Linked DNA regions of Rhinolophus ferrumequinum. The protein of the gene in region 1 purifies or fractionates together with the protein of each later gene. This does not show direct contact. Links are inferred from orthologs where the notes say so. Each region holds a gene or a part of one and is shown on either strand. Other genes may lie near its edges.

What was found. The genes of interacting proteins can lie anywhere in the genome.
Region 2: the proteins of EPS15 (region 1) and AP2B1 purify together in Homo sapiens (affinity purification with mass spectrometry; 3 studies listed by BioGRID and IntAct, with this or other methods). This does not show direct contact. The link is inferred for Rhinolophus ferrumequinum from reciprocal best matches to the Homo sapiens genes EPS15 and AP2B1.

Annotation. Positions count from the first base shown.
Region 1 is NC_046292.1:36,802,043-36,805,791, forward strand, and holds the start of EPS15 (epidermal growth factor receptor substrate 15), read right to left. Parts: upstream 2,363-3,749; 5' UTR 2,268-2,362; coding exon 2,235-2,267; intron 1-2,234. UniProt on the Homo sapiens protein: Involved in cell growth regulation. May be involved in the regulation of mitogenic signals and control of cell proliferation. Involved in the internalization of ligand-inducible receptors of the receptor tyrosine kinase (RTK) type, in particular EGFR.
Region 2 is NC_046304.1:23,151,455-23,155,203, reverse strand, and holds the start of AP2B1 (AP-2 complex subunit beta), read right to left. Parts: upstream 2,325-3,749; 5' UTR 2,116-2,324; intron 2,062-2,115; exon of another isoform or gene 1,912-2,061; intron 1,060-1,911; exon of another isoform or gene 969-1,059; intron 1-968. UniProt on the Homo sapiens protein: Component of the adaptor protein complex 2 (AP-2). Adaptor protein complexes function in protein transport via transport vesicles in different membrane traffic pathways.

The DNA of each region.
Region 1 (3,749 bases):
GAGAGAGAGAGAGAGAGAGAGAAGACAGAGATATTTTGGGGGGAGGGGTTGACATAAACATATCTATACTGAATGTGAAACTAGGTTGCATTGTTATCCCAGTTTAGTACCTCCAGCACTTAAAAAATTAAATTAAAAAAACACAAATCAGCAGTTTTAAAATAACAAGGAGGCACATATTAGGGTATATTAACACTTGGGAAAAGTTCTTTTTCCCGTGCCTTTACAATATATCTTACTTCCTTTTAATGTCTTAAAATCAAAATATTCTAAATTGACTTATTTGAATTGTCAATATAAATGAACCACCAATGTATGTCCTAGCATTTGAGACAATGAAGTATAATACTCCTGCTTCAGTATGTACTCTGTATACATGTTAATATTTAAATATGTAACCATAAGGACATATTTCAATTATTTAACTGTCTATATGTCTATAAAACTGACAGAGCCTGAAGAAAACCTTCAGAGATGAATGCTAGTAAATAGAAACTAAAAGCATTGTATTCCCCAGGGAGAGAATAAAGTAGGCAGGCATACAGCTAAGAAGTAAACCTACAAAGGCCTTCGAGGGAACAAAATCTTCAAGAGGGGAAAAACTCCTACCCGAATTGACCAACTGAGCCAGAGAACACCAGCCTGCCAACAGGATCTTGTTTAATGCAAGTGACTAACTAGACTCATAAAAGAGTGAACACCCAAAAGTCAATCTTGCCATTCTTCAAATTTGAGTGTCAGGAGGATCCCTCCAAAGAGATTCACCACCAAAACTAAGTCACCACATTCCAAGGATTCTTCCCCATTATCTGCTTGTCAAAATAGGATAAGCAACACCAAACAAACTAGGAAACAAACATTCACTTATGAGTAGTAATTCTTGCAAACTGGGGTTATTTTACTCCAGGTACGTTTATGTGAGATTCCTGGTTCCAGGGGAGAACAACTTTTCACTCAGTCTATCTTACAGTGGGGTAAGCAAAACATCCCAAAACCTCTTGATCCCAGCAATGAAAACTCTCCAGCCCAAACGTATACCCTATCCCAGTGTTAACGCCTATGAAGCACGAAAAATCCAGGCCAAGGAGACTACAAGGTGGCAGGGAGATACTAAAAGGCAGGCAGGAAGGTTGGGGTGGGTGCCAAGGGGAACCGACCTGGCCACCAGCTCTGGAGACAACATGCTGATAAGGTGAGACCGGGATAAGTTTTGGTCAAAGGAGTGGGAAGGTACTGACAGGTGCATGTCACCTCATTATCCTGGACATCATGGCAAGATTACAACTGACTTTCTTTACAGAGAGGGAAGAATGAGGCTGCCAGAGTCAGTGATGTTGAGAAGTTTTCTGGGAAGCACAAGGACTGGGGCTCTGAAGGAAGCAGAAAAGCAAGAGGAAAGACCCTGAGAACCGGTATTGGTGAAAATTCCCCCAGGACAGGTGTTCTCTATGGCCGTTCCCAGCACCAAGACTGGTGGAACCACCACACCTGTTAAAGGATGTTTCCCTGCTACCCGCTTGGACAGGAGATAGGAATGGTAACAGACGTGAGGAGGAAAGGACTAACCGGGGGTCTGACCCAGTACGAAACCTGATCAAGAGGGGAAGAGGCTGAACTCAGGAAGGGGCTAGCAGGGTAAGCACGCGGGTCGGATAAGACATTTGGAACAGAGACTGACTGGAGAAAACTGTTGGGGAAGGGAGGGCTTTCGTTGGAATCCAGGGGGAAAAGGCCGGTTTAGCGAGCCCAGATGCCTTGAGCGTCCGACTTGGGAAGGTGACTCTAACTGGGGGAAGCGCGCTGCCTAACCCACAGGGTGAGCCTCGAGCGGGCCGAGGGCTGCCCTGGGCGATCCGCGCGAGCTCAACAGGAGCTCACCTGGGACGGTCTGGCCTGGAAGGAGGAAACTTCCTGGGTGGGGGAAAGCTGAGTGGGGGGAGAGGGACCCAGCACCGACTAAGGCGGGGAGGGGGCACGGTGCACTTAGCTGGGGCGCCGCGTGGAGTGGGGCCAGGGGCGCCGACCCACCCCGGGTGGGGTCGCGGCTGCCGCGGCGGAGCACCGGACTGGGGATGGCGCCCTCCCTCCGGCGCACACGCTCTCGCTCTCACTATCGGCCACCTCTCCCGGGGCCGAGAGAAACTGCCCGGGTCGGTGAACCACAGGGCGGTGGGGGAGGGGGCCGGCCGGGGAAACCGACCGATCGAGCCCGGCGGATGGGCGGGTGGTGTTACCTGTGTCAGGGAGAGCTGGGCCGCCGCAGCCATGGTGTTTCCATCATGCACGGGAGGGGAAGGAAGGACGGGCGGACGGGGGCTCGGGGCGGGGAGGAGGCGGAGGGAGCGGCCGGAGGCGAGGCCCGGGCGGGCGGGCTGGCGGGCGTCTCCCCTAACTTCGACAACTTCCCTCCTCTCGCCTGCCCCGCCCGCCCCGCGCAGGCCGCGGTGGTACCCAAATCCTGGCGCTGGATTTTAAGCTGCCCGGCCGGAGCTTGAATCCGGAGTGGCCTGGAAAAACCCGGCGCGGATACGAAATTAAGGCGGACGGGCTGTGAATTTTAGGCGGGTCACCTACCTACTCTAAGTTTCTGCTTCTGAAAAAAGGGGGAAATTATACCCAAAGTCCAGGCTGCTTGTGAGGACTAAGTAAGATAATGATAGAAAATAGTAACAGTACTTTATATATGCCAGAATCTGTGCTAGGTGCTTTATTTTTGAATTGTATTAATGAAGGAATTGAGACATAAGTTGTACTCGTATAAATGAGGAAACTGAAACACTAGTGTCATACCAAAGGTCATACACCTGATTATATAGCTAGAATAGGATTCAGGTCCGACTCCAAAACCTTTCATTTAACCATCTGCTATTAGGGTGTGATATTGAAAAAGAAAACTTAAGTCATTCCCTCCAGGAGTCAAAACCTAGAAGAGAGGGGGAAGGAATACTTTTCTTGCATGCTTGCTGCCTGCCATCCTTAGACTGTTCAATGAAAGAGCACTGGGACTTATTCAGTTGCCTACAGCCCTCCTAAAACCTCCCATAGTCCACCTGGCAAACTCCTCCTACTTTCTCATGACACAACTCAAGTATCAACTCCTTTGCAAAGCATCTGCTAGCCTCCCCAAGTCAGACTTACACCTGCTTTTCTTTTTAACCTTTTTTCTCTACCTTATGAAGTCATCATCACCCTGGTGACTGTTTACATCTGTCTACCCCTCTAGACTGAGAGTTCCTTGAGGACAAGTACTGTTTCTGATGTACTTCTAGATCCTCAGACCCTAGCAAATAGTATGTACTTAATAAAGCCCATGGTTCCTGCCTATATTAAACATAAAACATCCTACACTTTCTCATGCTGCCATCTTCAATTAGAAAAACCAACCAGTTACTTGAAGGCCTCCGCTTTAAAGGTTTGGCTTATACGCTCCCTACTTAAAGAAGCCTTCTAGGAAATCCCACCCCATGTCTTAGTTGCTCTGATATGTTCCTTATTATACTTGGTATGCCTTGTTTCTAAAAGGTAGTTGCGTGCTTTTCTGTACCCCACCAGACTGTGAAATCCTTGAGGACAGGATGCCGACTGACTACTATATTCCCCTCACAGTGTAGTCTGGCACCAAGGAAGCCTCAATAAATGTTTTTTACCCAGAATTGGTCTCCCTTTCTCAGTCATGGTGGGTTCCCACAACAATAAACCGCAACTCTATCAAACCCACACCTCTGTAACCATTATCACAGCAGTCGCCA
Region 2 (3,749 bases), on another chromosome or scaffold:
CCAGATCAAACTAGACAAGTCCTTGATGTTCAGAGGACTTCCAAGGTGGCCTAGGGACATTGTTAAATAACAAAGCTGCCAGTCAAAGCACACAATCACTCTTACTAGCCCCCAGTGTGATGTCACTGCACTTCAGAGAAGGTCTCCTAGTACAGGATTATACATCTAGATTTAACATAACCTAGTTTCTACTAAAGATAGATTGTGAAAGTCCCTTGTCTCTTTCTATTTCTTCCTCCTTCCAGTCCCCCTAAAGAGAATAAGGCCAGAAAAACATTAATAGCATCTTAATTTCAAATGGCTCTCTGGGAAATGACAGCTAAATTAGAGTTGGTGAGGCCACTAAATCCTTTCTTTTCACTTAAAGTTGAGCTTTAGACAGTCTGGTATTTACATGGAAAAACTGGCCAAAGAGTTAACCAAATTATAGAGCAGAAAGGTCACTCCAGCCATCTTTTATTACAAGGGTGAGAGGTGCTAGTCAGATATTTCAGTGATAATGCAGTAACAATAGTATTTTAAGGTATCATTTAGCTCCTAAGAAATTACAAAAGACACCTAATTACAACAGACACACCTGTGATTTCCATTTAAATATAAAACTACAAAGTAATGTATTAATATTATACAGTAAGAGCTCAAAAATTTTACATCCAATTTTTAACTGAAATACCAACAAACTCTGGAAAACTTAAACCTAGGAGGAAAAAAGGAGAACATGTCCTATCTTATTCATTCCTTGTTCAGCTTGCCTCAAACCCGTGCCTAAAATGTAATATTTTAAAATATGAATCTGTTTAAGGAAAAAAATAAGTGGAAGAACTGAACTTTCTTGAGTCTTCATTCACAGAATGTTAGCTTTATATTAATTTTACCACCCAATTTTCAGTGAGGCTGTTTGCAGAACACACTATCCTTTTGCTTCCTTAATTGTTTAAACTGTTAAGATACCTGCAAACGGTTCTCACCTTACCACTATGCTTAGTCATCATTGGAACGTGTTACATGCCGTCTTGTCCAGCTGCATCTCGTTCATCTGCTGCTTTCTATTATTACTTTGTAAGTGTACCCTGAGGCTAACCAAGAGAAGTACACCAGGAAGGTTATTAATAATTTAAATTGTTCCTCACTGAGACCACCTTCTTTGTCATGCTGCCTTTTCTAAACTGACTGCGTTTTCTCTACTTTCTTTTAAAAAAAATTTACACCGATTATCACAGTTTGGTATTTTAAAAACACTTCCTTTCAAAAGTCAAAGTTTAATGAAGCAGCCACATTTTATTCAGTGCTTCATAATCAAACGTGCAAGTGAGTTCAGTAAAAGCCTGTCCCCCAAATAGAAGACTGTTTTGAAAACAAACAGCATAAATACATTCCTTGGATTCAAAGAATTTGGAAATAACAGGAAGTTCCAGTTTCTTTGCCTCTGGCTTAATCTACAAGCTTTTCTCAAACCAGATCATTCGTGCTAAATCCTAAATCCAGAAAGAAAAAATTCCGGATTAAGATTTATCCCCACTTGCTTCTCCCTCTTTCACACTGGGTCAGCTCTTGAAGCTTTTCTTCCCTTCCCCTGTCAGGAATTCCTGTTCTTTTCTCAGGTGCTCAAGATTCTTGGGATTTGCTCCTCCATTACGAGGTGGGAGAGAGGTCTCTTTACCTCAAATTACAGGAGACGGGCGAGGTTTGCCCATGAATGGACAAACCTTTGGGGGAATCCCTTTTCCCTTTTGCTAGCTGGACACGTCCCAGTGTCTCAATGAAAGACGCCAAGCAGCGAGGGTAGGTCCTCTCCTCGGCCTCCAGCCTCTACCGGCCACACCCCTGACCTCCGGCCTTCCTAACCCCCGACTTCGAACATATCCATCCTTTCGGTCCGCTCCCCCAATGCCCAGATCCCAGCTGCCGTACCCGAGGATTCCCGCACCCCGCCACAGCGGTGGAGTGCCTTTCTCCAACCCTCTTCCTCACAACGGTCACACCCGACGGCTCACTCCTTACTCAACGGTCACCTTCCTAGGATGTTCTCTCCTCTGCCGGTCTGCAACCCATCCTAGAGATCCCCCCGCCCCATCAAGGAGGGACACACCCCAAAGTTGGCCAGCTTGAACTCACCGGAGGCAAGGGCGGGGGTGGCGGCAGCAGCCAGAGAGCACTGCCCGAGTGGTGTTGTAATGGTTTCCTGCACGTCACGACTCCTTTTCCAGGTCTCAGCCACTGCGCAAAACTTACTTTGCCAGGGACAAAGATGGTGGACAGGAAACTCTGACGTTAGAGAACCTCGCCGCGCGACGTCATCCCCGCGCGCGGGAGAGAACCCAAAGTCGGTGCTCTCTGCAGTCTGGGGCACAGATTCCGCTTGGTCTGGAAGAGACCTGACACCCGCGTCTCAGATGGTTGTCTAGCCCAAGGGATATATTAAACAAGCTGACATGCTCTGAATTTATTTCCTCGCACAGTTCTCTAAAATCCTTACGCATAGAGAGGGTGAAATATCCTGTTCCTTTCTTAAAGAAGAAACAACTGAGCTAATTTCCCAGGCCAGTTCAGGAGTGTGGACAATGGTGATCCACCCCAAGACTATACACGGGCAGTGGGACTAGAGGAAAGTGGTGCAAGGAAAAAGGCTGAGATGGTATCAGATCTGAGTTCAAATCTCTGCCCTGAATGAGGCTGGGAAAGTTACTTAACATCTCCTTAACCTTTACGTATCTGTGAAAGGAAGTCTCAAAGGCTGTATCTCTCTTGGATTTGTGAAGCTTAACGGGGATAAAATACGTAAAACATGTAATAGGTGTGCTTACGCAAAACTTCCTTTTGTTAACCACAACCTAGAAATCTTGGTACCTTCCCCTCAATTTTGCTGTGAACCTAACAACTACTCAAAAATCAAGTCTTTTTTTTTTTTTTTTAATGTGGAGAGTGAGAGAGCCTGGGGCAAAAGCTGAAAAAAGCAAAATTTCAAAGGGACTGAGAGGAGTAGTCAGAGACGTAGAAGGAAAAGCAAGCAGTTATGTTTCAGGATGCTTTTAGAGTTCCATGAAAGTAGGAACTATAGCAATGTTCACTCTTCTATCTCTGAGGCCTAGCCTCCCTCCTCAAAATTTGTTGAATGGATAAATGTGTAAGTGACTAGTCAGTATCAGTTGCCATAGAGATAAGGAAGGGCTGAAAAGTGTCCAAGGATTTAGCAACACAAAGGTCTTTGATGTCATTGCTGAGAACATCAGTAGAGAAATGAAGGCAAAAGCCACACTGCAGAAGTTTGAGGATGAATGAGAGGTGTGGAAATGAAGTCAGGAGTAACAAATAACTTCATAAGAAAGTATGGCTGAAAAGAGAAGAGATATAGAATGGTATCTGAGGGAGAGACTAGCAAGATATATTTTTTAAGTTCTATACTCACACATTTTCTTTAGACTATCCCTTTAGCAATACCATGGGCTCAATTATCTTTCATACACATGACTCTAACATCTCTATCTCTCGCCTTGACCTGTTCCCCAAACTTCACCACCAAATTGCTAACCACACTGATGGGTAATTCTATAATTATGGCCCACCCAAATTAAGCAAATCATAAGGGAATGTGGGGCTGATTGAAAACCTGGTTCTAGGTACAACTCCCAGCAGACAGAGGTGGATTTTGTCAAGAAGATGCCACCAGAAAAATCTTAACTTTGATTCACATCTAGTCCCTATTCAAAAACTGACAACAGCTCCTCATTGCCTGATATCCCCAAAACCTA